6 linked regions of the Oryzias latipes genome follow. The protein of the gene in region 5 purifies or fractionates together with the protein of the main gene of each other region. This does not show direct contact. Links are inferred from orthologs where the notes say so. Each region holds a gene or a part of one and is shown on either strand. Other genes may lie near its edges.

Region 1 (5,405 bases), on a different chromosome or scaffold from region 5:
TTAACTCCTTCAGAAGAATCCTGATAATATGAACAGGTGAACAGAAAAAGCTTAAAAGCATTTAGGATTAATTTTATAACAATTTACTATTTATAGCTTGATATTTCCAAAGTATTTTAGGCAGTTTCTTGTAGTATTTGCGGCACACTAGTATTTCTCGTATTTTTACGCTCATTTGTGTTCTACCACTTACACTTCTGTATCAACTTGTTCTATTTTTATTATTATCATCATCATCATCATTATTTAAACTAACAAATTTCCAGCTGGCCTGCATGCTGGAAAAAAATATTCCTATTGAGGAACAGGTTAATGAAGCTTTAGAGACAAAGGTCTCATCGGACGGGTGTGTTCGGGATCACACATGCACACCTGTTTGATGGCATCAATTGTGGCCATCAATAACCCTGCTTGTTTCCAACAGTTCGCGTTTGAAACGTAGAACAAAATTTACGCCGTCTTGTGTGTGCTTTTTTTTTTTGCCACATACAGGCGTAGAAAACGGCTATAACTTGTCTATGGCCGACGGAGATTATCAGTTACCTGCAATGGACTAGTGGTTTAAGCAACTTAACCTTTTTCTCATGCTGGAATTGTGAGTTCAACTCCAGGCTTTACACACCCATTTCTTTGCGTTTGTTATCCTTTTCTTTTGCTGACGACTTTTAGCAACAGTTTTATTTTGATTGTAGTTAGTTTCTTGTAGCTCTTCCTCATCTTTTTGGTTTTTTACAAGTATGCATTACATTAATAAACTATAAATATTGGAGACAATAAAGAAATCTCTTTTTGTAGTCATCAAATTACCAAACCAACATGCTGTTACAACAGAAACGCTTGATTCCCATTTAAACATTGAAAGAAAAAAAAGACTTCAAGGATGAACACATCTTTGGTAATAAGTCTATGTACAGCAACATGTGTTAAGTCGCCCTTGTTAGGAGACAGACAAAGTCAGTTTCTCAGTGCTCACAGGTGGTGTAGTGCAGTGTTTTTCAACCAGTGTGCCGCGGCACACTAGTGTGCCGTGGGAGATGGTCAAGTGTGCCGTGGGAAATTGCCCTCATTAACTGATTTAACAACATTTTCCATCTCCAGGATTTCAGTTCTTTGTTCATCCCTACATGATAAAACACTAAGAACTTGGGAATATGAAAGATCGTAAAATACTTTTTTCTTTGTGTTTATTTGATTCTATTAAATACATTTTCATAAGAATGACTGTACCACGATTTAGCCGCAGCTTCAGCTGCGTTAGGAAAAGTTCCGCCCCTTTAACTGTCTCCACCAATCATTCTTGGGATCTTAATCACATGTCATCAGTCTGACCAATCAGAAGTGGTTAAAGTCACCTTTTCCTTGTTCTGAATTCTGCTGAAAAAGTCGCTCAGTTCTAAGAAAAATACCAGCCAAAGCTCGTCTTTAGCGGTGTAGCTTTCCACAGAATCCGGTGTCAGACCGAGGAACAAGTGAACAAGACAATGAAGCTCAGAGACGCTAGTCTCTCTGCGTTCGGCGGATAATTGAACTACATCTCCCATGATGCATTGGGGTAAAGCGACACTGAGCGTCTGGGCGCACGACTCTCTCCTCTTAACGTCCTGAAACCACAACGACCACAAATCAAACAGTTTTTAAATCGTTTGACTTAACTTTTATTACATCTTAAAAATACAGCTGCAGCTTCCAGCTTTTTCTGCCACAATTATCACAAAAATGCACTGAGATTATGGAGGGACTGTAGATCTATACAGACCGAATTTCTCCTTTTTTTTTTTTTTTGAACGCCGGAGTGCCGCGGGATTTTTGTCAAGGTTGAAGTGTGCCGTGGCTCAGAAAAGGTTGAAAAACACTGGTGTAGTGGAATAATGACGTGCTTGCAATGCTTTTCTTGGAATTACCTGGGTTTGAATCCAGCGGTCGCATTGATACTTTTGAATACATGGTTAAATTTCATTAGGCAAACAAAACGTGATTTTAAATTCATATTAATATCTTCTTAAGAACAACTACAATGAAACCAAGAGTTTACTGATCAAGAAAAGTCTCAACAAAAAAGAAGAAGAGCAACAACAAAAACGAACTATGATCAAAATAATACTGTTGATAAAAGTCACCCAAAGAAAAAGAAACACGATGAGAAAAAAGTATATGGTTCTGCTGCTTAAACCACCAGGCTATCACAGACAACTGATGGTCACCGTTGGCCTAAGCCAATTTATTCAAACATTACAGCTTGTGAAACAACACAAGACGGCATAAATTACGTACTAGTACTACGTTTAAACGGGCGTAGAAATCGGCGATTTTTTTAAGGCCAAAATGGTGTCCTTATACCACTTTTCTTTGGGATTTTTATAACTTGTTTCGCTTGCCATATTGTCTTTGTAAAGTTCTTCAGACTCGTGGAGGTCCTGCAGGTTTGGGTTCAGAACCGGACCGTCAACTCTCCGAGGCTGCAAACCCCCCCAGATGGTTGACTCTGAACCTCGAGGACACGCCTGCAGCGGACACACCTTTCCGCAGACACAGTTCCGTGTTTTACGCAAGCAGCCGGAACATGAACTCACCTTTCCCCGCAGGTGAGACGTCACATCGCCAAGAGGGCCGCACACCCACTCTTCATGTCGGGTTTGCCGAGCGCGGTAGTGTCCCCCTGCCGAGTAAATGTGGTCGGAAACTACGAACTGCGAACCGAGCTAAAAGCCGAACTGTGAGAACAAGGAGAGCCGAACCGGTTGATGATCAAATCACAGAAGAAAACTGGAGGCTAAACTTCAGAAATCAGTTCACAACACAACAAACTAGCCAAACCTCACTCCTCGGGTTTCTCTCTTGTATCCAAATTGATTTAATTTGGTAAACAGAATCTACCATAACACGGGACCGAGGTTGGTTCTGGTTCTTTTGTTCGGAACCAGGACCCTGTGCCGCGTCGCGAAGGCTCTACCGATTTTATACATTAGGCAGTCCGCCCCGAACCCTCCATCTCGGCGGTACCAAGAAGACCCGAGAACGCCCAATACGTGGCCGTGACGGACCATTATAACTTAAGGATGACAGCACCGATATGATACACCTGCGGGATCAGCACTGCGGAATCCCTCTGGGCCCTCCCCCGACCCACCTGGTGCACCGCGGCAGTTGGTCCGCCGCTGTGAAAGAGACAGCCGCTGGTTCCAGTCCGAATCCCAGTGGTCCGGGACTTCTGTTCTTATACAGGGTTACAATTAAAGTGTCCAACTGCTGAGTCTGAACAGCGCTTTGCTGGTCCGGAACCTTCGCGCGTGTGGACAGTTTAAAACTCCGGCCAGGTTTGTCCGTTCCTCAGCGGCGGAAGGTTCGCTGCTTCCTGCTTAGATCTACTTCACTTCCCTGTTGACTCCGCCCCCTGAGGCATTCACTATCCTCCTGGAAATAGCAGCTTCGATGGATGCTCTGCTGATTTTCTTCTCCAAGACTGAAAAACAAAAACTTAAATTGTATCTTTTGTGACGACAGTAATATTAAATTTCTTTGTATTTTTCTGACATGAAAAACACTATTTTTAGCTAGAAAAAAGACTGAATAATAAAGGAGAACTGAAAGGTCTGATCTTCTGAAGCTGGAGGGGATATAACTGCATTCTGGGGAACATCTTTTTCCAGTAGCTTTGTCTGCATTCAGAATCCTGCATCTCTTCATGTGTCAGTTAACTTGATTACCTTTTCTTCTTGGTCAATCTATATTTCTGTCACAGCAGTCAATGATGCCCACATTTTAATTTAGGCTGAAATACAAGTAAGTGAATGTTCTGATCTGTGGTTGTACTTCAGAAGGTTTTTCATGACGATAAGCGGTTTGATTTAGACAGGTCTGCTGACAGTGTTCGGACTAATAGAAATAATAAAATACTAAAATGTAAGCAGGTAAAGTCTTCCTGTGAAACTGCTGTCAGTGCTGCTGTTAAGCCATAGACATGTTGAAATAGACATAGATATCTCCCAAATTGGATTCAACACAGATAACATAAAGCCCAACATAAGCTCAAAACCCTGAATGGCATTTGGGCGGAACAAGTAAAGTTTAAAGCCCTTATGGGTTCACCGATTGGTCAAAAGAAACCCACCCATAAATCAGTGCAATTTTGAGCTCCAATAAAATCAAAGCTATAGTACTTGAGAAATAATTTAATAAAGATAAACATAATATCCAAGAAACCTGGATATACAAATGTCTTTTTTGGTATAAAATTAAAAATTTTAACATGTATGTAAAAGAAATCTAATTCTACAACCTGCCTTCAGTGTTTTCTGGTGAAACTGCAACATTTGAAACATTTTTTATTATTTCAAACACAAACTGAAAATAAACACAAGAGTTAAAAATAGGAAAATAAAACAAAACAATGTGCTTGAAAAGGAGTGGGCAGAAAAATTGTTTTTGTTTGGTCCCACCCCTTTTTAAAACAGCTGCTGCTGTGCATATTTCTATTTACAGTTTTTCTTAATCAAATCATTCAATTTACCTTCTGTGTGACACCCATGCAAAAGAGACACTTGCTTACTTGTTTTTATTGATTATTTCTAGCCTTGTAAAGTTCCATCAGTTACATCTTGTATGTTTTTTTAAATACATGTAAACGTTTGCCAATGAGTTATACCGTTAGAGGAGACACGCCCGCTTGGGAAGCCTGGCTGACTGTGGCAGAACGCGACGCCATCTCGGTGAGGTCGTCAGCGCCCATATGACAATGCTTTCTATAGCCTTTAGTGGCATCTAAGTAGCTTTTATATAATTTATATATATTTATATATTTATACATAAATATAAATATATAATATATTTGTATTTTAAAAAACAACGTATGTTGTTAAATAAGAGAAACAGTCAGCCTTTAAAGCTCAAACTTTAATGAAAAATGCATAGTTGCAGGACTTCTTACAAATAAAAATAATAATAAAAATATTTTTTTTGGAAAATACAGAATATATATATATAGAATATATAGAAATATAGAAGTTTTAGACCTCTTTAACATGTAATTTAAATTATTTAGAAAAGCCCAACAGTAGGTCAATAATAATAATAATAAATTATAACAATATATAAATAATAAGTCAATGATAATAAATAATAATAAAATATTAATAAGTCAACAATAAGTCCAAAAGTTAACAACAGCTTTACCCTTAAAAAACCTAACAAGAAACAATAGATTCACCCTACTGATTCATGTGAGTGATCAATTTGTTTTACACAGATGGTATGGTGCCGGGTTTCAAGCAAACAGTCTGGCCTCTTATCAAAATGTGTTTCCACAAAATGTTTTGAACATAGTCAGACTGTATTGCTAGTTGGTAACCACAGTGATCCATCTGGGTTAGCTCTTGTGATAGCTAAGGCTTTTTCCTTAAGTCTTAACG
Region 2 (3,945 bases), on a different chromosome or scaffold from region 5:
TGAAAATGTCAAAACTGCCTTCTAGTGAGTTGTGAAGAACAGCTGTGAGACATTTGGGCCCATTAAAGCCCAATTCTGACTGGATTTCTGACCAAAACATCCTCCGTCCCGTTGGAACCCCTGCCGATGGGGTGGTGCGGTCTCGGAACCAGACCAGAGGGAGGGTGTGGACACAGGGTGTTGCACCGAAGAACCCTGTAATGAAGGCGCGCTGCCATCATGCCGGGGAATGGTTCCCATCAGAGAAAAGGAGAGTTGCACTTGTAGCAGAAATTCCAGCCGTGGAGCAGATGCCGGTCTGGATTTAATCAAGTGAACTTTTGCCACAGCGTGCATGGAAAACTGGAAAACTGGAAAACTTCACGCTCGCTGGCGTTCAGGGGAGTGAAAGGGAGCATTTATTTAGACACCGGAGAAAGTGTTGGTCTTTTAAAACCCAGTTTATCCCTCTTGTTTTTTTTTTTCTTCTTCTTCTTTCTCTAATTAGTTATTTTAAATTTGCTGGATTAGGAAATTATTGCTGAGTCGACACTCGGCTTTCAGAAGGAGTTCAGTGTATTCACGGTGTGAGGACAAACCGGAGGGAGTCTCCGTTCACGACGGTGAAATCCAGCCTTGGAACCTAAAAAACAGAAGAGAAAACCTGAATGTGCAGCAGCTGATGGTCCCGCTGTGGAACTTCACTTCCTGTCCGATCAGGCGTCGCTGTGTGCAGATTTCCTGTCCGCCTGAGGAGAGGAAGATGCCTCAGATTCAAGTTTCTTCTGCCACTGAGGGCTTTTTTTATTTAAACTCACACGTGTAAAGCCAATGATTAATTCTGCATTTTTTAAAGCTCCACTGCAATGAAAATGTTTTCATAGATAAAGAAAATGTAGCTAAAAATGGAATATTTCTAGATATAAATCATTGTAAAACAGGAAAAAATACAGTTTGAAAAAGAGTTTGTGTGACGTAAAAAAAAACACTGAAGGGGCCACAAGCCCCCAGCGACAGGGGAAGGGAATAGGGGGCGGAGTTGCCCCACACTAACAGTCACAGTCGGAGGTGACGTTCTGCTGCTCTGCAGGAACTATGTCCTAGAATACAACACAAGTATAATTCTTAAAAAAGACGACATTTACAATAGATCAAAAATGATGGGACTTTTTTTTTAACCCAGCATCAGTCTGGATGGGTTTGTGATGTTCTTCAGAACACGTCAGAATGTTTTAACCATTGGTGATCTTCATCACGATGGATTCCCTTCAGGAAGACGCGTGCGGGACGCCACAGGTGTGTGTTTGGACGTGCCGCAGCGCTGAGTGAGCAGAGGAATGCTCTGCTCAGGTTAACGGACATCTCCTTCTGTGATTCTCCGTTTGTTGTCCACTTTCAAAATGTTTTTTATTGCTCACATCTGGAATGGAAAGGGATGAAATGAAGAGCGCGCTTTTCATGTGGAAGTCATTTTCGGCCACATCTGGGTGAGGTTTGGACCAAAGGTTTCTGGCGGTACGGCAGATGGTTTGGTTTATGAAGGAATCATGCACGGACTGTTGTTTGACCTTTTTGGTGGAAACGTTTCAAACGCCATTGTTGTTTTTCTCGTTTCTGTTGCAGAAGAGGTGGACTACAGTACTTTTGGCACCAACACAATAACGCGTAAGAAGAAGGCTGTCGTGGCGCTGCGCAACAGCGACATCAGCCGCAGGCGCCCCAACATCCACATCGGCATGCCGCACGACTTCCGGCCCGTTTCCTCCATCATCGACGTGGACATCCTGCCTGAATCTCACCGCCGCGTCCGCCTGTACCGGCACGGCTCGGACAAGCCTCTGGGATTCTACATCCGGGACGGCACCAGCATGCGCGTGACGCCTCACGGCGTGGAGAAAGTGCCGGGCATCTTCATATCCCGCATGGTGCCGGGGGGTCTGGCCGAGAGCACCGGGCTGCTGGCCATCAACGACGAGGTGCTGGAGGTGAACGGCATCGAAGTGTCGGGGAAGTCGCTGGATCAGGTGACGGATATGATGATCGCCAACAGCCACAATCTGATCGTGACCGTCAAGCCGGTGAACCAGCGCAACAACGTGGTCCGCAGCAGCAGGATCTCCGGCAGCTCCGGCCAGTCGTCCGACAGCAGCGGGTCGACCGGTTACCCGAGTTTGTCGATGGCCGTAGCGCGGGAGACGCCCCCGGGAGCGCACGGTTACCACGACGACCTGGAGAGCGACGAGGAAACGGATATCGTCATCGAGAGCAGCCTAAAGCGGCCGTCTCAGCGGTCCAGCTCCTCTTTAGCGTCGAGCGCATCACGCACGCAGCAGCAGCAGCTGCCGCCGTCCCACCGCAACCCCCCCACACGGCCCTCCTCCATGGTCCTCACTGCGTCCTTCCACTCCCAGACGAGTCTGAACGGAGGGTCCCCCCACCACCACCACCACCACCACGGCAGCCTCAACCAGCAGCTCCACAAAGAGCCGAAGCACAGCCAGCAGCAGAAACCCGGTCAGCCGCAGCTCCACAGCAGCAACCCCGCCCTCCGACACAGCAACGGCAGCCTGCACAAAATCCTCAACTCCCTGAAAACGGACCCACGACACAGCTTCGCCCTCCCCAAGGGAGGGGTGGAGGAGGATGGCACCGTCATTACCCTATAATGCCCGCTAACAGACAGAAACATCAAAGCTGCTCACAGACTCAACTGGAAACGCCAGCATTTCACTTCAGACACACACTTCTGTTGATTTGTACTAGATTATAGGAAGATTCCCGCAACTACAGTGTAAATACGTGTTGTATTTTAAAAACACTCTTAGTCCAACAAGAGAAGATCCTGTATTTTCTTAAAGCTTCAGAACAAACAACTGTTTTTAGAGGATTCCACTGTAGCTTCCAGATCTGAATGTACTGACAGCTCGTCTCTGAGTGACCACTGATCAGGATCCTTTTATAATTCCTATTTCTTGGACCAACGTGGGCTTTTTTATTTTTTAAGAGTAAATGTATATTCTTATGAATGCTGTGTAGATTATGTTTTTAATGTCTGTTATGCATCGATGATTGTGATCAAATCATGTTTCTTTTTCAATAAATTATTCTATCTCTTTTATGCAAGCTTGAGGATATGATGTTTCTGGTTATAAAATGTTTGATTTTTAATATTTTCTTTGAAAAGCGCATCACTTTGAGGTATTTTTATGACAATTTAGAACATATTTGCCTTTCTATTTTCATTCATCATTAAAGATGAATGAAAAAAAAAACAGGCTTGCTTTCTATCTGAAAGACAAATGTCATAGAAAACCCAAGCAGTCTTTAAAAAAGCAACACTACTCTAGCGTCTGCATCAATTTAAATGTCCAATTTGACCTTTGGAAGTCTTTGTTTCAAATGCATTTGTCCCAGAATGCCATCAGCTCACTCGCACACAAGTTTTGTTGGGGAAGTAAGTATTTCATTTACAGCTGCTAAAATGAAATATTTAAACGATACACAATTCCCTCATCTATTATTTTTCATCGAATCCCAAAGAAAATGCAAGTAAGTCACCGATCTATGTTAAATTCTGCAAATTTATAGATGCAAAATGTGACAATTTTTGCTCCAAAGATTTGAATTTGAAAAAAAGATTTTTGAGTTTAAACTCTTAAACGTTCTAATCAACTCTTACGTTTTTAATATCTATGTGGTTTGTCAAATATTCCATGATACATATATTTTTTTCTCTCAGATTTCAGAAAGTATAATTGGACGGTTTTTGGAAGGATTGCCTGTAGTTTGGGAGTTCTACTTTTCTATGATTTTGGATTGCATTTAATTTTTATTGGATTTTCTGCGTTTACTCTGAGAAAGCTCCAAAATAAAAGCACGAACAGGATGTCAATCAGTAAAAATATATATTTAAAACCAAAGCAACTATTTTTATATAACCATGACCCAAATTGACTTTTTAATTAA
Region 3 (5,420 bases), on a different chromosome or scaffold from region 5:
ACATCCAGTAAATAGACGTGTGCAAACGGTAAAATGTTTATTGTAGTTTGATCTGATAATCGTGGATCTGGATTCATGAATTGGATTTCCACCGAATTAACAGCTTAAGTTGATCACATGCAGTATTCTCCACAGTCTGATATGTTAAAAGGAAAAAAGTCAAATTTCTAAATATGAATGTAGTTTTGGGAATGACCTCAGAGACAAACACCTGATCCAGGACCCGCCACTTTGGGCCCAAACACCATTTGGATTTCTGACAACACCAAGACACAAAAGAAAACATTTGCCGTCAGAATGTTAATACTCACTCATCATCATCCTCATCGTCTTCATCTTCATCATCATCCAAGTCCATTTTCATCTTTTTCTGTCAGCAGATCAGAAGAAGGTAAAAACCAGCACATCACATTTTATGGCATTTGTTAAAGTTTTTAAGTCAAACCTGAGATTTGGCAGCAGGGGATGAAGCAGGCCTCTTCTTTGATGTTTTCACCTCCTCCTCCTCTTCCTCCTCGTCGTCTTCCTCTTCAAAGGATTGATCCGCCTCCATCACTGAAAGCAGATTAGACAGCAGATGGTGTGATGAATGCAGACCCACAGAAGGGCAGATAAAAGAACCATCTTCAGAAAAACACTTACTGACGAGGTGCTGTCCGCTCAGATGGATCGGACCGGAACCCGCCTTCAGACGGAACACTGCTGGGGGTGTGATCGTGAACCCGCCGAGACACACCTACGAAATCAAGCATGCAAGGTCACACAAGCTGGCTTTAAAGATCCATATTTAAATGCGCCGAAACAAACAGAATGGGCTTCAGGAACTTAACCTACAACACATCAACGTCACAGATCTTTTCTTCAGAAAAAAAAAATTATTCCGAAATTTGAGATCTGTCAGTACAGTCCTCCATACAAAGGCTAACTGTAAAATATCCTTTCAGGTGAGTGAAGGAGAACTGTGTGTACTTACACTTGGAAGGGTGGAGGGTTTGAGTGACACCAGAGCTGCCTTGATTTTCTGCCCCTCTGCGTTCTGTCCTTCCACCTCCACCATGTTAAGCTCGTCTTTGGTGCTGGGGTCAACACAAGCCTGAAGGGGCAAACAAGACAAGGTCTGAGCTACGTTTTAAACATTCTTGTAGCATTCTTCTCACAATGAAGGACATATTTAAAGAAAACTGAGCTTAAACCTGAATTTTTGAGTCTATTTTAAGTCACGAATGAGGAGCAGATGAAAGAAATGTAATTCTATTTGTGGCGCTGGTGCTACAATGAACGTGCCAAACGTTCCCTGCTCCGGTCCATCCTGCGTCGACTTGTTGACTACTAGATCCACGTCTTCCTCGTCTGAGCTGATTTGTTGCAAACTGAACGGCTGAATAGCTTCAACATTGCTCACCATTTTATTGCACTGCTAATGTTGAGCTAGATTCACATAGCCCATTGTGGACAAGCAAGGAGAGACCACCAACACGTCCAAACCTATAGCTGGAAGAGGCTTGGTGCCAAATGTCAAAACGGTGCAAATCTCACAATTTGGGCACAAAACGATAACATTTTGGTTCGTTGCCAACACCCTTGCAATGATTGAAACTGATAACCACCATGCTAGGAGAGTGTTTCGTTATTTGAAAGACAAACGCAGGCACCATCAGGCCTGTCCTAGTGTCTGGGTTCATTTGGTAAACCAGCTACTCCGAGCCCCTGACTGCCTAGATTCCAGTAGAAGCGCGAAAAACATTTACATAGTTTTACTGAGTTAGGCTGCTCAAACATGAAGTTAGGGGGCGGAGGCACATTTTTCCTGGCGGCCTGCAGAAACTATGTCCTACAAGACCACTTTTTAATACTTTTTTTTGGCATAAATTGGCATTATCATGCTTAAAAGCCACTGGGAACACTTTGACAAAAGATCAAGTGGGACTTTTAATGCATTATAATTCAATACATTTAAATTCATTAAATAAAGCCTGAAATTTAAACGCAGTTTAAAATGATAAAAATCCGCTCATTTAAACCCACAAACAGGACTTCAAGCTAAAATCCAAAATATTTCCATTGATGTGCCTAAAAATTTATTCGACATGAGAGCTCAAACGCAAGAATATCACAGAACTGTAGTCTTCATTTCATTATAATTACCAGTTTGAGATCTAACTGATGCTCCAGCTCATCATCTTCAGGACTGAAGAGCACTTCCTTCCCAGCCTCCAATGTGCATCCTAAAAGACAAAAAACGGTTTTAAAATGAGAGAAAATATCAAACTCAACACTAGAGGGCGCTCTAAACGATGCACCACGTGGGAGAAAAAAGTATTTGATTTCCGCTTAACAGTTTTAAAGTTCCCATATTTTATCTTGGATATAATTTATTTAAAATAAAAACAAACTCTAGAGACTCTAAATAGTTTTTTTTAAGTGTTGGCAGGAGTAAATTTCAAATTTGTAATGACTTACTGGAAGATAAAAACTATTTTGACTTCATTTCTAAACAACTGTTTCACCATCTAAAATAAATCTTTATGAAAGAAAAAGAATCTTTTTTTTCTCTGCACCACGTGGCAAACGAAACAGATTACAATAAAAGGACTAAAACGTATAACATCACGAAATGAAGAACAAAAGAAAATATATGCAATTGTATTATAAACAAATGTGAATAAATATAAACGTAAGTATATTTCTAAAGGGAATTAATTAGGTCAGCTTTAAAGGGGGAGGGGCCTAACGGCACGCTGGAAACCACGTTGTCGAATTTTCTAGAAATTAGTTCATGGTCTTGCAATTTAATTTAAAGCTTTTTATCTATTTATTTTTTCACAACGAATATCTTATGCTAGGGTAAATTAAAAAGCAATATTAATATGAGCTGTATTTGTCAGAAACGTAGTTTTCATTTGGGGAGAAAAAAAGCACGGCGACCGCCATGTTGATATATTCAAGGAGCATGTGCGTAATAAGTCTGACGCCGTATTTCCAGTCATGATCCAGTCAATAAAACACATAAGTCATAAAATAAAAACAGACTACACATTTTATGTCCCTTTCTTTAACGTTACACATTCAATTTTATTCAAAAATGGACCGCGCGCGCCTCAGCGGCCGCTCCACCTCCTCGCACGAGCTATACACACACGTGTGTCCAACGTGCACGAAGAAGAAAAGCAAACCTACCAACTTCTCTTACCATATAAAAATGTCTGTGGTGCCAACGATTCTTCGTCCAAACCGTTCATTTTGCTGACTGACACGACCGCCGCTGATCTGCACGGGAACAATCACTGATCGTGGATGGAAGGACTGATGGGGCTGTTCTTCTACTCTGCTGAAACGGAAGTGATCCAGTGGGTGAGAGCGCCTCCTACAGCTCGGCGGAAGTTAGTGCTTAGGGGGTGTTAGAAATTCATATTGAAAGACAGATGCATTTAAAACAATCTAAAGCTAGTTTCTGATTTTATTGATTATTCAGACGTTATTACTGACGAAAGCTTCATTTTCTTCCCAGATTTTGTGAGGCGTTTGATACAGGGTTCATACGGTCATGAAAAACCTAGAAAAGTTTTGGAAATTGAAAATGCAATGTTTTAAGTTCTTGAACAGTTTGTGAAAAACGAAATCTTCTGGAAAGTTTTGGAAAAGTCATGGAATGTTAATATTTTTGATTAAAAAAACATTAATAAAAAGGTTTTACATGAGATTCGAATTTAAATTGTGACAAAAGTTCAACCTCACTTTCTGAACGGAAGTTCCATATAAGTTTTTCTGGAGCATAATTACACTGACCAAAAATATGAACGCAACACATTTGTTATTGCTCCCATTTTTTATGGTATGAACTAGAGGGCTGCATTGGGATCGGGTCCCGCCGGGTCCCGCGGGACCCAACCCAAATCTCGCGGGATTGGGCGGTTTGAATTGTGCTGCGGGCGGGAGCGGGCGGCAAAAAATAAACCCCGCGGGATCAGTGCTGCCATGAATATCTCATGAATATATATTAGCGGACTACGTTAGGCTGTGCGGCTGTTTGATTCTTATGTACTGAAGCTCCGTGAAGGCACCAGGTAGAGACGCCCAATGGCTTCTGTCATCTAACCTGTTGTTGGGGGTGCGCCCCGCCCCGCCTCTTACTAAGAGCGCGCTTCAGGCCGTCTGTCTGCGCGCGCACACACGCACACTTTTAACCGAACAGGATTTGTGAAAATATATTTAATAATTAAGTTGCACATTACACAAAAGAGGAATGCATCAAAAGATGAGTCTGGAGGAGGTCATGAATCTCTTTAGTAATAATATCAATACAAATACGTGTTTTGTTCCTGCGGGACGGGAGACGATACAAAATCAATGCATCTCTATTACTGTGCGGGACTAAATTCTATGAGTTTTGCGGGTGCGGGCGGGAGTGGACATACATATTGCGGGAGCGGGCGGGAGTGTAACGCATACGTTGCGGGAGCGGGCGGGATTGGTCAAAAATTCAGCGGGCGCGGGCGGGAGCGGGATGAAGAAAATAGTCCCGCGCAGGGCTCTAGTATGAACTAAAAGATGTGAAACATTTTCCACATACCCAAAATAACCAGTTCTCTGAAATTTTGTTCACAAATCTGTCTGAATCTGTGATAGTGAGCACTTCTCCTTTGCCAAGACAATCCATCCCACCTCACAGGTGTGCCATATCTGATTAGACAGCATGATTATTGCACAGGTGTGCCTTAGAGTGTCACTGGCCACAAGAAAAGGCCACTCTGAAATCTTAAGTTGTATCACACAGCACAATGCCACAGATGTCGCAAGTAGTACAAGTCAATACCAGTGAGCATTTCCAGGGGGGAGGCGGGGCGATGACGTCAGTGCTCACTCGGTGTGGCTACATGCTCTGTGCGAGCCAAGCATGTCTGATCAGTGCAGCAGGAGTCTTCGTGGGAAGGGTGCTTTGTAATGAACAACGCTCCGGAGGACGCTTCAGACCTCAATCTGACCATGTCTCCCGGGAGAACCGAGTCTCTGAGCCGAAGAGTAGCTTTGAGGCGTCTTTTGAAGGCGGAAGTGCCGCTTCGGGCAGTCCTGAGAAACCATGCAATCATGTGAATTTGTGTTTCAAATCGTGTCCAGACAAAATAAAGGCTGAAGTTTTTCCCACACATTTACAGCCAAGATGCACATTGTGGCACTGCCCGCGGTAAGGACTTTAAATGCATCCGAAGCTAAATGTTGTTGTTGACACATATTAGCCTGATCCTAAACACTTCTCCTGAATTTTATGATATTTTCTTTTATTTTCATCGATACACTAATTATAAATCTGGTTTTAATTTTTTCCCTCTCGGGTTAACGCAGAACAGCAAGCTTTCAGACTCGGTCAGAGAGGGAGATGGAAAACCGCAGCCTCCAGTGGCCATCATGGCTGGAAGCTGAAG
Region 4 (5,435 bases), on a different chromosome or scaffold from region 5:
CAACACTTTCAAGTATTGATCTTACCTTTTGGTGTCCTTCACACAAATGAAACCTGTAAACCTTGTTTAACCTTGTGTTTTTGTGTTGCCTTTATTACAAACATCAAGCACAGAATGTGTCTGCTTTTTCAGATCCAGTCCAATGCAAACATTTTGCCATTTTTATCATGTTCTTGTGGTATTTCTCTGATGGAGGACATACATTAGGAAGCTTAAGCTCAAAATTGCATTTCTGAGTGATTCTTTTTTAATTTATTGTGAATCAAGAGCAGATGAAAAAGAGCTTATTTGTAGCGTGGGAAATAGCTGGGAGGAAGGGGGGCGGGGTTGCTTCTTAGGAGGAGCTTAAGGTTTGATCAACCTCTATTGCACATAAACAGTTTAATATTGTTTTTCCATTTGTTTCCTTTAAACAGTTCTATTCATTTCTAAATTATAAAGAATCTTTCAAATAATTTCAGTTTTGAAGCATCTGAACTTGTTCAAGTTTTACTGTATTGAGAAAAATGTAAGGTGATGATTATGATCTAAAACCTTGAATTGGTTCTGTGTGGAATTTGTGTGTATTTATTTTGTTTTTAAGCCACCAACAAAATGTCAATGTTCCTCAATAAACATAAAAACTTCCTAAAGTAAAACCTCAGAATGTGACAAATTCTCGAATGAAAACTGACAATTCTCTTTATTAGCTTTAGAACAGGTCTTGATTGAACGTTTACACATTTAAAGGGGACATGAGATGTAAAATAGAGGCTGAGAAACTAAATGATCACTATGGCTGACAAATATTTCTATTGAAGTTACAGAAAAACAAGCAACATTCTTGTTGCCGGGTGCCAAACATGAGTCTTGAGTGCTTTAGTCCTTTGAAATTTCATCTGGAGAACAGACAGTTAAGTTAAATATTAGTTACATTTGACAAAGCTTTGGAGATCTTCCAGGAACTTGATGTACTCTTGGTGCTCTATGGCAGTGCTGAGCTCCATGAGCTCGTCTGTGAAGGTGTTATCAATGCCGCGGTCGGCCAGGAAGTCCATCAAATGATCGTACAGCGCCTAAAAAGAACCCAGCAGAGTTGAGAACATCCCACCTTCATGACCCCCCGTGTGCTCATGGTTCACAGCAGCTCTTACCCAGTCCAGGGAGTCTGTGTTGAGGGTGTAGCTGGTCTCCTTCCACTCAGAGTCTCCCTCTGGCTGAAAGCTGACCTCCCGGATGGCAAAGATGTCGCTCTCCTCCTCCCCCTCACCATGACTCATCTACATTGGATAAAGTCGGCACCTTTTTACCTAACCACTTCATCCAGAAGTTTTTCTTTCTTTCTTCGTTTTAATTCATACCTCATCCTCAGGGAAATGACAGTCAAACACGAGCGTGTGCTTCCCATTCTGTTTTGTTACTTCAACAACAAAGTTTGGCGTAGATACAATCTCTGGCTACAAAGGAAAACAACAACTAGTGAGCATAAATAAATGATAAGATCACAAATCTAGAAGGTAATTCGAAAGCTTCACCTCTTCCTCTGCTGGTTTCTGCTGCTGCTGCGCTTCCTCCTCCTCCTCAAAGCTTGGAGGGATGCTGTTGTTAACGTTGAATGTGACCGTCACTCTGAAGACAGAAAATAAAAGCTGCTTTGCAGGAACTCCTACACGGTCACTTTGTCCTCAGAGAGTGAGCCATCGCCTTACTTTTCACCAGAAAGGTGTCTTGTGAGTTTGGCCTCTGTGCCGTTCATCTCAAGCTCCCATCCTCCAGACATCTTAGGAAGGGTTTTGTTTTTCTGGATCTTCTTTTCCTCTTTGATTTCATCGGACAGGAAGTTACCAAACGCTTTGTCTCCTGAGAAAAAGACAACAGATTTAGGTGAAACTGTGTGATGTAGAATGGACAACTTGATAAAAAACATGAATCCACATTTCACACAGGATGGGATGACAACATAACTTTATATGAGTAAACTATTGGCTTCGGCAGAGGGGATTTGGAAAAACTTATCAGTGAACCTTAATGTTTTATGTTTAAACATGTGACAAGTTAGAGGTGAAAAAACTTGATAAAATGCATTATCTGAAACAATTGTTACACAATTACATACAAAATACCTACATCGTGTAGAATCTTTAAGTGTTGATGGATAACACACCAGCGGAATATTCAAAAAAACAAATGCTGACTGAGTAAATACAGATGTAAATATAAAGGGACTCTTCACTTGTGATTAGTTTAAAATGTTAAAAGCTCCACTCCAATCACCTCCCGCTCGATTGTAAAAGCGTTCACAGTGGGGTTTTTTTAAAAATAATAATTTTGACGTTTTTAGCCAAATCTTTATAAAACCTGTGTCGTTTTCCAGGAGCAATTTCTGCCGAGTGGAAGGAGTAAAGAAAAAAAAAAAAGAAATAAAAACAAGCACTTTTAATGAGGAAAATCGGGTCACTGTAAAATTCAAATAGTTTGTGAAGTCTGGAAATTAGCAGTACTGTTGCTAAGCGACAAGTTAAAACATCAGTTGATTGTTTATCATCTAAAGCTTTGCCTGCCAAAGTGATGTCAGCTCTTTAGCTCCTAAACCAGGATGCAGCACGCTCGCCGTGTCGTCTAAAACCCCAATTAACCGCCACGTGTCTTTCAATTTTGTAAGCAACTTAAGCTGTTTTGCTGCTTTAAATAACCCAAACTTGTGTTTACAGGTTCTCTTTTTTTTTTAGATAAATGAAACAAAAACATGCGGACGTTCAGCTACCTTCCGTGTGCAGCCCTCCACATCCACACGACACAGACGGACTTAGTACTTTTGAGCTGAACAGTTTAGGTCTGTATCCCGACGGGGCTCCGTTACTGTTCAACATCCACAGGGAGCGGGTGAAGGGCCGAGATGCAACCGAACCAGGAGAGCGGTTGGTCGGACAGCTGAGCGGCAGAGCCCGTGCAGCAGCGGATGGTGCCGAGGACAGCCGAACAGCAGCTCCCACCGCGCGGACCAGAGACTTTAGCATGATACTATAAACTGTTTAAAGAAGAGAGAAAAATAAGAACACGCAGGCACCGACGTACTACCAGGAACGCTTCTAGAAGACACCGGCAACACGTGTGGAAGGGCACATTGACCTAGCGTAACTATGACCCCTGAACCGGAAGTAGTACTTAGTTCAGTAAACATTAGTTTTATATCAAATAGTTGACTTTACTTTACTAAACACTAAACACTAACTGATTATATATGATGGTAAAATAGGATGGTAAAATTAAATGGAAAAACATTTTTAAAAAATAGCTGAAAAAATATGATGCACTTTTAAAAAACGTAGTGCATTTTCAGTGGCGCCCCCCTGTGTCTTCGATGTGAATGTTTTATTAGAGATTGTCTGCCTTCTTTAGTGGCGGGAGTTCTTTATTTATTTATAATAAACTCGACAGCACATACAAGTGAAATAAAATTTGATTAAATAAGAAATATCAATACAATCTCAACCGGTAGAGGCCCGTCATGTAGAAACATTGCATCATCCTTTGCGACAATATATATTGAAATTGTAGTCTTGCTGCCATCAGATGGTGCTGTCTGACATGTTTTTAAACCATTCAACGCCCACTATACAGCCAATTCATTTTTTAAGATAAATTTATATGCTTTTTAAACCCCTTTATCAAAGCCACGAAAATTTGCTAAATATATATATATAAATATATGTAAAAAGATTATTTTCTATTCTATAAAAAAATGTGTTCACCATGGAAACTACTGTTTTCTAAGTTAGGAAATTCTGTAACGGTTTGGACTGAATCTGCTAATTTACAAACTATCGGTTGCGACTGTGACCGCACTTTTTTTTTTTTTTTTTAAGGAATCAGTTTGAAAAAAAAAGTCTCTTTGTTGTCAGACTTCCCTAAAGACAGTACAAAAGCACAAAAGCAACTTGAGAGATTTATGTCCCCACATTTTTGAAGGAAATTATTCAGACCTAAAGGGTGAGTTTAGTGGTGTTTTTTTTTAAGTTTCTTTTTTTAACTTTTCTTTATGAACACAGTAGCTTCTGTGAATTTAGCACAGATAATGTTACCATGAATTCCTGATAAATGTTGTAATTATCTTGACTATTTCACATATAATTTAATTATTTGAATTTTACATATATACATACATGTAAATATAGACCAAGAGCTTTTATGTATCTATCTTTACTAAACCTTTTTAAAGGTAGTGGCTGTAGATAAGTTTGCATTCTTATGTGGATGGAAATTCTGCTGTTGAAAAAAGGCCAGAAATGATGCAAAATGTTACTAAAAAAACTCCCATAATTTCCATGTTATTGACTTGATACCACTGTAAGTTAGTTCATATTATATCATAAGGATTTGTCAGTAAGACAAGCTTAGCTTTAATGGCTGGAGGTTAAAAAAGAAAGATTATTGTCTCATTTCACAGCAAAGGTTAATGCAAATCAAGTTGCGTATCTGTGTCTTGAATGGGAGCAGCTCTGATGTTTGACCTTCTCTAGTTCAATGTTCTGCCGGCAGATGACCTCGCAGCCATTTGTTTCTCTGCAGTTTGTCTGCAGTGTGCATGTCACACGCTAATAAGTGAGTTTAGGGTGCTTTATTTTAACAATTAGAGTGAAGGGTCATGTAATGAGAATGCCTGACTGAAGTGTCCGATATGTCCGTCAACTGTGCCAGTGTTTCTTTCTTTGATGGCAGTTGTGAGACAAAACTGTCATCAAGCTGACTCATTTCTGATTCAACAGATCAAAAATTCAATAATTTGTCTCAAAGTCCACTGATCCAAATATTTCGACTGTGAGCAGTCTGTGGTGTTTCTCTGAGATCAGATCTTTGCGACCATTGTTGTTCCAGAGACGACGGGAGCAGCAGGACAGCAGCTCAGGAAGTGATGACGAGCCTCCAGAAAGAGGACCTGCGTCCGAGTGCTGCTGCTCCTGAGCCAGATGTGAGCATTCCAGATGTTTGTAGAAGTATTCCTTTGATTTACACACGTCTACACTTGCTGCAGCTGTGGTAAAGGTAAAGAAGCAGGTGAAGCATTTTCTGACTCCTCCTCCTCCGTCTGTCTGCCGAAGGTTCAGGCTCCAGTCCTCCAGTAGAACAGGGAAAGCGCTCAGCCTGCCGCTCCCAAACCTCCGCTGTTGTTGTAGAGGTCATTTAGGAGTTCATCATGTGATGGCTGACTGACTCTCCATACAACTCGTAGATGTAACACACACACTAACATACAAACATACTAATATGCACACACACACACACATGCACACGTACCCACAAACACACTAATACATGCACACGCTTAAGCGCACACCTACACACACACACACTGTACTAATTAATAATTAGCAGATGCATTTACTAATTTTTGTTTCCTTATTTACAGGAGTACTTTGCAGTGCTTCTATACTTAAAATTTAATACAATACAATTTA
Region 5 (5,322 bases):
GCCGGCTCGTATCCGAAAATCAGTCTTACAAGCCCCGAAGGATGAGGGAGGACTGGCCCTGCCAGTCCTAAGATTTTATTATTGGGCAGCAAACATCCAGAAACTTCTTTTCTGGATGAACGATGACAATGAGGCCATTTCAAGCTGGACTCAGCTGGAAGGGAAATCTTCAGAATTTTGTCTGCGCTCAATACTGTGTGCACAGCTTCCCCTTCCCAGTGTCCATACCTGCCCAGTGGTGTCCACTTCTTTGAAAATCTGGAGTCAATTCAGGAAACATTTCGGCCTTATAAATTCCACAGTCCTCACATCAGTCTACAAAAACTGCAGATTCGATCCGTCCAAAACAGATCTGTCATTCAAACTATGGCACAGGAATGGGATTAAATCAATCTCTGACTTATACACTAACAATGTATTTTCCTCATTTGAACAATTGTCAAAGAAATATGCCCTCCCGAATCAGCATCTCTTCCGTTTCTTCCAGATCAGGGACTATGTTAAAAAACTGTTTCCTCATTTTCCAAATCGCCCACCAGAAACTCTTCTGGATGTTCTTCTCTCCAAAGACCCTTTTGTTAATGGATGCATTTCAAGCGTTTACAAGTCAATTTGGACAGCATCCTCAAAGCCGTCCGATACTGTCAAAACTGCGTGGGAAGACGGTCTAAACCTTAACATTACGGAACAACAATGGAGGTCGGCATTGTCTCTTGTCCATTTGTCCTCTATTTGCGCCCGCCATAGATTGATTCAATGTAAGATTGTTTATAGGGTCCATTACACCAATGCCAGACTGGCCAAAATCTATCCTTCTATTAGTGATGCCTGCAGCAGATGCCATCTCTCTCCTGCCAATCATGCCCATATGTTTTGGTCATGCCCAGTGATCGCAGCTCTTTGGACAGATGTATTTGATACACTAACGAGGGCTTACAGATACACCGTCACACCAAATCCCATGTCGGCAATATTTGGTCTCCCCCCAACTTCAGACACGCCGAGTGCACTAAAGCGGGCCGTTGCATTTACCACCCTATTAGCACGCAGGCTGGTCCTGCTGAACTGGAAGCTCCCCCGTCCCCCTTCGCATGTCCGCTGGGTCCGCGAGGTGCTTTACAATCTCAAACTTGAGAGGCTTAGGTACTCACTTCATGGCTCACTCAGGGTGTTTCATGAGACCTGGAGCCCTTTCCTACAATATGTGGACTCCTTGACATTTCCTCACAATCTGGAGGCTGACTGAGCACCAGTGCAACAAAAAGCCACTGCTGTTACCCTGGTTTTCTCACTTATTACTACGTATTTAATTACCTTTTTTTTTTTCTTTTTTTTTTTTTTTTTTCTGGACGTATTTCTTATTTTAAAAAAAAAGAAAAAAAAAAGCCCAAGTGGTTTGTGTTTTTTATTTATTTACTTTTTTATTTTTTATTTATTTATTTTATTTATTTATTTATTTTTTTTGTGTCTGACTTGGCCTCTGGGGGTTGTTGACGGGGGTGGGTGGGACGGGTTGACATGTGAGTGTTTATTTTTACACATTGCCTTTTTTACATTTCATTTTACACTCTGTATGTCTGTTTAATACAGAAAATGTTCAATAAATAAAGTTATAAAAAAAAAAAAAAAAAATCCCACACCGTCACAGCTCTTGTTTATATCTTGTGGGACACAGAAAAAATGCGACTTCTCTAGTACAGATAGCAGAACCGTTGAGGTCAGATCTTAACGATACTGCAGTCTTGAAGAATGTTGCCCCGGGGCTCGTTCAATACCGGGGCACGGTACCCATCCCTATGAAAGGGGCACGGTGGCATATAGCCAAAGAGATGGTACCCATAGATACCGTGGAGAAGACGGGGTTTATTAATTGAATTAAAACCTTAGATCCCAGATGTGAGCTGTAATGTTAATCCTTTAGAAAATGGTGCTACTCTCAAGGTGAATGTTTGTCTCCTTTTAGTCTAGACTACAAAGTGTGACTTAAAACCCAGCTGGGACTTTGATTCCAAGAGTGTGTTCATGTACTTATTATTCATCCCAGAAATGGGGGTTACATTTGTCTTGCGTTTGATTAGATAAAAGCAAAATTTGCTTTAAGTTGTCTGCCGTTTGTACTTATTGCTTTCCTTAAGTAAGGGGGGGGGGGGGGGGGACATCGGGGGGAAAAATCTTAAAATCGAATTAAAAAGTATAAAATCAGAGATTTTATTTTTAGGCCATATCGCCCAGCCCTAGTCCAAATGACCCTTGTCTACATAGGAGGCCAGCATCTAACATCTAATATGTCAATAGTTTGGATCATTAACAAAGATTTATTACAAATATGAACTAAAATGATTAGTTTTGCTTTAATATAGATGCTTAAAGACTTCCTGTTCAATCCTCATGTGTGGGATAGAGAACCAAAGCTAAAGGTTAGTTCCAGACTCATCATGTTTGTTCTCCTCATCAGAATAGCTCTCCTCCCCCTCAGCTTCAGGTGACAGGGAGAGCCGGACTCCTCACTGCAAGAATGAACTTCAGTCCAGGCAGCAGGTCGCCCCGGCAACCGCTGGTCCCACAACAACTACAGCTCATTAAAACCACAAGGAGGGATGTTTTCAAAGCTCAAAGATCAATGGAGACACAGGAAATGAAAGTTCACCTCTGAACTAGAGCAAAATAAAACTCATTTCTATCAACTACTGGTTTGTTCAGATGAACACACACTGGGAGAGGCGTTCACGTGTCTCCCTTTAGATCATGGTTAGTGACGTCCTTCTGCTTCACTTCCACCTGTTCTCTGACCTGCGTGGGTGAAGAACCTCCAGTTCCTCAGACAGGTTTGAAGGAACCGTTCTGGGGTTCCTGCTGTCAGAGTCCACCCATCAGCCACTGCGGCGCTCACCTTCATGTCCCGAACTGAAGGAGAATGGAGGCTTTGGGACCGAAAGTCCATCAAACCTTTCAGTGTCTGATATTTCTGGTGACCAGCAGGTCACACTGCTTTCACTTGTGGACTTATTTAACTTTCCTGCAGTGAGAAAGTCAGAAACGGTGTTTTTGTTTTACTCATTCTTGTGGCGGCAGGTGTGCCCGCGCGCCCGGCCCGGCCCGGCCCGCTACACCGCGCGCCGCCTTGGCTCCGCAGGTGTCCACGCGCCGGAGGAGGTCACTTACCCGCGGAAGTGCGCTTTTATCTTCACCACCTTAGAGGCCAGGTCCATGATGGATCCGTTCGACGTCAGCGCGTCCATCCCGCAGTTTGCTGAAAGTCCCGGGACAGGCCCAAACTTTGACGAACCCAACCTGCGGGTCGCTGCGGGGCATTCAGCGCGACTATCCCGCGCGGACCCGGGAGGAAACTTCCGGAAAGAAAACTAACGGAGCGGTTTTGAAGTTTTTTTACGGTGCAGAAACATTAAAGGCTTCGGAGACGGTGGAGCCGTCAAGCTCTCGATAACTACTAGGCCATTTCCGCTCCACACTTTCAAAATAAGACAAATTGAAACTATGATAGGCAGCGGCAGCATTGAGGAAGAGGCCGATGCTTTTATTTTGAAAGCACAACTGTAGGTTGCTCACTTCGCAGCTTGATAGATTTCTGTGGCTCTCTATGGTTACGGGGGTCAGAATTCACCTGTCCCGCTCCGCTCCTCGCGGCGGGTCCGCTGCGACCCACAGCGGGAGTGGCGGTTCTGGCAGCCACACCAGTAGCGCCCCTCAGTTTCCCCCAGTTACTACCCAGAAAAGTACAACAGCTTATTATGGTTTACTTTATGGTTCAAATATTTCACTATTAACAATTATTTTAAAAAGCAACCAGAGGCTTGTAAATTCGTACAGCTTATAGGACTGTTGGAAAAAAAATACCAAAAGTAACAATAAGTCTTACAAGGATAACAACACACATGTTTGCTTGAGGCTTGAAATGACCTCCATGTAAAAAATCTATTAACAACTAGTGCAATTTAAGCTTGAAGCTTATTGAGACAACTTTGCTAATATTGGGCTACATACATAATATTAAATTAAAAATTCTCATAGCTTACACTATGAACTTGGTCTGCTTCTCTTAAACTAAAAATGTGTCAGTCTTGCATTAATACGGGCAAAGTCATCAGTCAAACCCTGGTTTGTTAGTTTCTCAGTGGTTGATGATTAGAGCTACCAGACCAGGTAGCTGATCTTGAGCCTTGGATGATCTTAGGAACATTTTGATAAGCTTAAGCTTTCTTATCCTCACATCTAATTCTTTTCTAGTTTTCATGCAGTGGATAGGATCTATTGTCATGTGAGGTGATCAAAGAACTGGCATTAATCCAGGGTCTGTTAAACTCATTTTCCTTTTGGAAAAAGGTCTGCAGCAAAAACACGAGAACCTTTTTTTTAAGTACACCAACCACGTTTTTTCTCCTCTCCTCCACTAACTAAAGTTCATCTGAAGTACTGCTGATGGCAGCTTCCTCTATCATTCTCATTCTTGAGAGAAACAAATGTGGATGGAACCTGAATTCCTCCTCTGCAAACCAGATGTGTTGGATTCCTGTCAGTCATGAGGGGCAGTTAGTGGGTCAGGGGGCAGCTCTTCATCCACTGAAGCCTCTGTAATGGATGTGGATGTTTTTGTGTTTGTAATCCTAAAAAAGTCACATATATTGTGAATAAATAAATGTTTGAGGCAGTATGGATTATCATACATTTCATGAAATTATGTTCACACTGTGACTATAAAAATACATATCATATCTACTACACTAGTAATTTAAATGATGTGCAAACCTGATGTTTCTTGCTGTTGTGGATCAGATGCAAATGGGCCTTCAGCGTCTGTGGAAATGTTTGGTTCTGCATCCTGACCCAAAACAGCACTCAAAAAAAGGAAATTACCAGCCAATTAAGTTAACGAAAAAGTAACTTGTCATTTCAACCAGAAAATTTTATGTTTGTAAATCTTACGTGAATGAATCATGTCGATTGTACATAAAAATAATCCATTTAAAAGTTACTAATTTCAATCATGTTGATCCAACGTGATACCATTAAATTGGATGCATTAGTAATCGCAAGGAATTGTGGGATACCATTTTCTTTGTCTATCTGGGCAGATTGGGCTCTAAGTGTGAGTTTTTGTCCCTGGGTTTTATTGTCTAGCTGTTTTACTCTGTTTTAACTAGTGATTTAAACTGTTATGTTTATTTTTTTTTGCACCATGAGTTAAAGTTTGGTAGAGGATGATGACCAACCCCCTGGTGTGGTAGAATGCTAATGTTCCAATACTTAACACAGAGTTTGTGGCAATTGAGCTCCTGGCTTGTGATGTGGGACCTTGCTGGGTAA
Region 6 (4,715 bases), on a different chromosome or scaffold from region 5:
TCTAAAAATAAATGATTTGTTAGTTGACTTACATAAGAAGAATGTATAGAAGCAGAAAGGTCACAAACCATACTGTGTTTAAAAATGTTAAGCCTCTTGCATTGTAAAGAGGAAACTGAATACCTGTTTAAACCGATTTACAAACTAATCCTGACTTTGGCTGATAGACGTTCCTTTGGCTGTTCTCACTCTGTGTGTGTGGCGCCGGCTCTGTTGTGCTTTGCCGGCGTTGATCAGCCGCTCCCACAGCTTGGTGGAGACGTTTGTGACGTGACAGGAGCACGTGATAGCTGACGAGTGAAGGGGAGCGAGGTAAGGAGTGGGCAGCGAGGGCCAACCGGGGGTCAGCAGGTCAATCACAACCAGCTCCTCCTCCAGAAGCACAACGAGAGCCGATGGGTCGTCAAACTCTGAGGGCGGGAAGACAGAAGGCAGGACATTTAAGATCCAAAACAGAATAAAAGTGAAAGGATTTATATCTGCTTGGATTCTTACCTTTGTCGTTGTCCATGTTGTGGACAGTAAAGAAATCGATCACTCGAGATGTGAAGTCCAGAGTGACATGCTCTTTGTCCTGCTGGATGGTTAGACAGTGACGGTCTCCATAGCTGGCTCGTGGCATTCCTCCACTATATAAGATCACCGGGGAACTAGAGAGAAGCAGAGGACCCTATTTGCAGAGGTATTCAGTCTTTTCTATTCAAACTGATCCAATTGTATTCCAGATATTTGTAAACTTAAGCAAATCTGTTTCTCAGAGCAGAGGATAATGGGTACAATCTCAGACAAAGTTTATTTAAAGACCCACTTTGGTGAAAATGGTGTTATTAACATTCTTCTGGCCTTTTCCTGACGATGGAAGACATATATACAGGAAATTAAGCTCAAAATGTTATTTTTTTTATTCAAATTGTAGTGAATAAAAAAAAAATGCTGTTAGAAAAAGATTGTATATGTGATGCAGAACATTGCTCTACATCACATATACAATCTTGTTATGTTGGAATTGTGAAGAAGCTGGCAAGAGAGCGTGTAAACAGAGAGCTCAGTTTTGATTGACAAGAGAGGGGGTGGGTTTTCTCCGCCCCCAAAGTTCCATCCACAACTCAGAGGTGAATTTCTAATGAACTACTGCCGCTCTGCAGAAACTATGTCCTAGAAAACAAAACAGGTTTCTTGATTTTGGCTAAAAACAGCATAATCATAAAAGATCACTGGAACGCTTTTAAATTCAATCAAAAGATCATCCGAGTGGAACTTCAACCACTCATTTTGATTAAAGAACCAAATCAGATGACAAACCTCAACTGTGTCGTCCTCCACAGGATCTTTGTGATGGCTTTGCAGGGAAAAGGACCTGAAACAGAAAAGTACTTTGAATTCACAACAATGTGCCAGTCCCAATAATTCAATCCTCACAAATGACTTAAGAAAAAGAAGAGTACAAAAATGAAGATTAAGCTCAGTTTAAAGACAAATATTTCTTATTGATGCTCCATTGTTCAGATCATTAACTACAGTTTGTGTCATAGCAGGTCTAGAGTCACAATTCACTTAAAAAAGTCACTTCCCTTAAATCTAAACAGCAAGCAGAATATAATAAAAGCAATAAATAAAGCCAGAAGTTATTTTTTAAAGATAATCCCCACAATCAACAGTGAAAGGACAGCTCAGGTCTAGTTTGAATAATGTTTTTGGTGATAAAAACATTTTTTATCAACAGTCTTGAGTCAAAATCCCAAAAATAAGGGCGGGTTGTACACAACCCTGAGGTTTATGAGGGCCAACGGTACAGAAGAGTAATAGTCTGCAATATTGAGAGCTTCAGCTTTTGCATTCAGATGAATTTCTCAAACAAAAAAGCCGCAGCAGGATAGAAACGTGATTATTTATGCTCATCTTTGAGCGGCTCGATGGGTTTCTCACCGTAGGGAATAGTAGAGGACACCGGCTGGTGGTTGTAAATGTTTCCGTTTGTAACGGCCCACACCGAATAGCCCCCATCGTTGTGGGAACTGACAAATAAGTTTCCAGAACGCTCCCAGACCAGGCTCTCCAGCTGCTGCAGAGCGGGTTCACATGCACAGCCATCAGAAGAAGGTCAAAGTGAAATCAAGTCAGTGGTTAAACACTTTTTTTTCTCTTCTAAAGGGAGTACCTGCTTTCCGAGGAACAGCTGGTCGGCGTGACGGGAACTCAGGTCCCAGAGGACCACCAAGCCGCGGCTGTAGCCGATCAGAATCTTGCCTGCCTGCTGAGGGTGTTCCTGAAGAGACTCGACTGGCCCTAAGGATTTCCCACATCTGTAATCATCTGGCAGGCTAAGGGAATGAAAAAAAATAATAAAAAATCTGTGTTTTTTTCTTTAGCTTCACATATAGTAACGCATGGATCTAATCCAGGAAAAATTGAATTATTTTTTAGGCCAGGACAAGGTGAGATAACGGTCTACACACACAGCTGTTAAGGAATTAAGAAGACGATATCTAACACAACATCTGTGAGAAGACAGGGAGGTTGACATTGCTCCCAAATCTAATCTTTACCAGATCTTATTTTGACAAAAGCAAAAATAAACTGTCTGAAAGGCAGACAGAGATGCACATATTTTTCTTCCACATGCAACAGCAGTAAGTTTAACATCAAATTGGTGAAGAGTTCCTGGAATCAAGAAGCAAGACATTCCTCTGAGACAAGAGAGGAATGTGGAGCGGAACACACCCTCAAGATGTCAGAGGATTCCCTCAGCTAAGCAGGAGAGGAGCAGCAAGACTGCAGAGTGGAGGTTTTTCAGAACACTACTGCAGATCAAGCAGAAACATCTCTGACACACACAAACACACACACACACACACACATATGCTGATGCCGTGATGGATGAAGATCCTCTCCGGAAGCACAGAGACAGAAAAAAAATCCCAACAAAGCATTCCATTGTCTCTGCCTCGGTGCTTGAAAGTATTTTTAGGGAATCCAGCATCCTGCTGCAGAGTCCCGGAGATGAACCTGGAAGTGTCTCTGTGGATGCGTGTCCCTCTGAAAGGGCACACTAGACGGTCAGCTGAAACACTTCCCGCATTTTAGCAGGAGACACAAAGCTCCACTATGCAGAAGCTCTGCTCTGTGGCAGAAACGCAGAATCAAACGAGTCTCATCAGAGCCATCAATAAGACATCAGTGAACCCCAACCTTCCTAAACAAGGAGAAGCAAACATGCCAAAAACATTTGTCCTGCAGCTTAAATTCCCATAAGGCAACATTACAAATGTGTGCATCATTATGACAGAATCCCATCCAGTTTCCAAACATGGAGAAAATGCAGCACTTTATCTTTATCAGGATTATATGACATTGATTCAAATTGATTGATGGTTACCAAGCAACAACTTATATGGTCGCAAAAAAACAATAGTTTTGGTTATGCATTTTATTTTACAACTATTTTAGCACTTCTATGTGAGCTCCTAGTTGTTTAGGGCTATTAAACCACCATCTGTCAGTGTTCAAACGAAGAGTTTTAAATAAAGTTTTGAAAATGAGCTGAAATAAAAAGCAATGCAGCTTTCTGTGGATACAACTTTATCTGCCGTAGAAAGACCCTAAAACTGCGTATTTAGTCTTCTTAACAAATGTTTAAAACCAAAGTGTCCTTCATTGACAATTATTAAAACAAATTTGAAATAACGAATAAAAACTAGGCAGATTATTTCGATAAAGTTGTCTTTCCTCAACTGTTTAGGCTGAAATTGTATTGAAAATCATACTTAAGTTTGTGTCTTTAAAGGCGACCACGCATCTCCATTCTTTGTTCTTTTACTGAAGTAAAAGCTTTAGAGATCAATAAGACTTGATTCATTCATCACCAAATTGGAGACCTTTAAGAATCATTACAAAAAAATAGACTTTTTGCTCAGCTCTGAAATGCCACGTCATCTTCTTCGTTTTCTACTTCTACTTCAATTGCTCAGATCCTTGTTGTGCTTTAAATCCAGCTAAAACTCTCTGCAAAGGAAATTCTTTAAGATTATAGTGATGTAAATAATGTCATTTGTTAATGTAATTAAAACAATAAAAATGCATAGTGTAGGCAATTCACCAGAAGTACCAGTCCAACAACAACAAAAAACACCTTCATCTTCATGACAGTCCCAGTCTGGGAAGCTGCAAAGCTCAGCCATAAAGTGACTACAGAGAATAAAACCTTTAAGTTTGTAGACCTTAATGTCACGTGGGTTAAAAAAGAAACACAAGGAAAAAGAAATGTATATGGTTGCTACTGATAACAACAACCAGGATGTTTATAAGAATAAAGTAGCAGTAACAGAGAACACAATAAAAACATGATATACAGCACTGGAACTTCATGAGGACCTTCTGGTTTGCTGACAGTGAGAAAACACTGTTCCAATAAAACAAACCACTTTCATAAAAATTGTGTTTTGGGTATTTTAATCATGTTCTTGTATCATTTTTCTGACAATGAAAGACATATATAAAGGAAATGTAACTTACAATTTTAATTTTTGAGTACCGGGTACTTCTTTATTTAAATTGTTGTGAATCAGGAGTAAATGAAAAAATGTGGTTTGAAAAAGAGGTCAAACTATGTTTTAGAAAAGCACACAGGTTTTTGGATTTTGGCTAAAAACAACATAATTATAGTTTTAAGACCACTTTGAAAATAAATCAAAAATGGTAAGATCAGGCCAGTTTGA

The links.
Region 1: the proteins of prkcz (region 5) and llgl2 purify together in Homo sapiens (affinity purification with mass spectrometry; 7 studies listed by BioGRID and IntAct, counting the BioPlex papers as one, with this or other methods). This does not show direct contact. The link is inferred for Oryzias latipes from reciprocal best matches to the Homo sapiens genes PRKCZ and LLGL2.
Region 2: the proteins of prkcz (region 5) and partitioning defective 6 homolog gamma purify together in Homo sapiens (affinity purification with mass spectrometry; 6 studies listed by BioGRID and IntAct, counting the BioPlex papers as one, with this or other methods). This does not show direct contact. The link is inferred for Oryzias latipes from reciprocal best matches to the Homo sapiens genes PRKCZ and PARD6G.
Region 3: the proteins of prkcz (region 5) and nucleophosmin purify together in Homo sapiens (affinity purification with mass spectrometry; 3 studies listed by BioGRID and IntAct, with this or other methods). This does not show direct contact. The link is inferred for Oryzias latipes from reciprocal best matches to the Homo sapiens genes PRKCZ and NPM1.
Region 4: the proteins of prkcz (region 5) and c1qbp purify together in Homo sapiens (affinity purification with mass spectrometry; 5 studies listed by BioGRID and IntAct, with this or other methods). This does not show direct contact. The link is inferred for Oryzias latipes from reciprocal best matches to the Homo sapiens genes PRKCZ and C1QBP.
Region 6: the proteins of prkcz (region 5) and llgl1 purify together in Homo sapiens (affinity purification with mass spectrometry; 6 studies listed by BioGRID and IntAct, counting the BioPlex papers as one, with this or other methods). This does not show direct contact. The link is inferred for Oryzias latipes from reciprocal best matches to the Homo sapiens genes PRKCZ and LLGL1.

What each region holds. Positions count from the first base shown.
Region 1 is NC_019877.2:17,363,790-17,369,194, forward strand, and holds the start of llgl2 (lethal(2) giant larvae protein homolog 2), read right to left. Parts: upstream 3,378-5,405; 5' UTR 3,128-3,377; intron 3,098-3,127; exon of another isoform or gene 2,815-3,097; intron 2,712-2,814; exon of another isoform or gene 2,657-2,711; 5' UTR 2,571-2,656; intron 1-2,570. UniProt on the Homo sapiens protein: Part of a complex with GPSM2/LGN, PRKCI/aPKC and PARD6B/Par-6, which may ensure the correct organization and orientation of bipolar spindles for normal cell division.
Region 2 is NC_019869.2:23,984,918-23,988,862, forward strand, and holds the end of partitioning defective 6 homolog gamma, read left to right. Parts: intron 1-1,602; coding exon 1,603-2,645; 3' UTR 2,646-3,097; downstream 3,098-3,945. UniProt on the Homo sapiens protein: Adapter protein involved in asymmetrical cell division and cell polarization processes. May play a role in the formation of epithelial tight junctions. The PARD6-PARD3 complex links GTP-bound Rho small GTPases to atypical protein kinase C proteins.
Region 3 is NC_019872.2:18,721,396-18,726,815, reverse strand, and holds the start of nucleophosmin, read right to left. Parts: upstream 3,355-5,420; 5' UTR 3,240-3,354; coding exon 3,191-3,239; intron 2,226-3,190; coding exon 2,146-2,225; intron 1,094-2,145; coding exon 974-1,093; intron 737-973; coding exon 643-736; intron 556-642; coding exon 446-555; intron 371-445; coding exon 312-370; intron 1-311. UniProt on the Homo sapiens protein: Involved in diverse cellular processes such as ribosome biogenesis, centrosome duplication, protein chaperoning, histone assembly, cell proliferation, and regulation of tumor suppressors p53/TP53 and ARF.
Region 4 is NC_019872.2:21,255,103-21,260,537, reverse strand, and holds c1qbp (complement component 1 Q subcomponent-binding protein, mitochondrial), read right to left. Parts: upstream 3,128-5,435; 5' UTR 2,997-3,127; coding exon 2,744-2,996; intron 1,840-2,743; coding exon 1,689-1,839; intron 1,609-1,688; coding exon 1,515-1,608; intron 1,437-1,514; coding exon 1,341-1,436; intron 1,260-1,340; coding exon 1,134-1,259; intron 1,056-1,133; coding exon 906-1,055; 3' UTR 659-905; downstream 1-658.
Region 5 is NC_019865.2:32,864,135-32,869,456, reverse strand, and holds the start of prkcz (protein kinase C zeta type), read right to left. Parts: upstream 3,452-5,322; 5' UTR 3,240-3,451; coding exon 3,163-3,239; intron 1-3,162. UniProt on the Homo sapiens protein: Calcium- and diacylglycerol-independent serine/threonine-protein kinase that functions in phosphatidylinositol 3-kinase (PI3K) pathway and mitogen-activated protein (MAP) kinase cascade, and is involved in NF-kappa-B activation, mitogenic signaling, cell proliferation, cell polarity, inflammatory response and maintenance of long-term potentiation (LTP).
Region 6 is NC_019866.2:18,052,678-18,057,392, reverse strand, and holds part of llgl1 (lethal(2) giant larvae protein homolog 1), read right to left. Parts: intron 2,322-4,715; coding exon 2,159-2,321; intron 2,063-2,158; coding exon 1,927-2,062; intron 1,358-1,926; coding exon 1,303-1,357; intron 651-1,302; coding exon 496-650; intron 411-495; coding exon 190-410; intron 1-189. UniProt on the Homo sapiens protein: Cortical cytoskeleton protein found in a complex involved in maintaining cell polarity and epithelial integrity. Involved in the regulation of mitotic spindle orientation, proliferation, differentiation and tissue organization of neuroepithelial cells.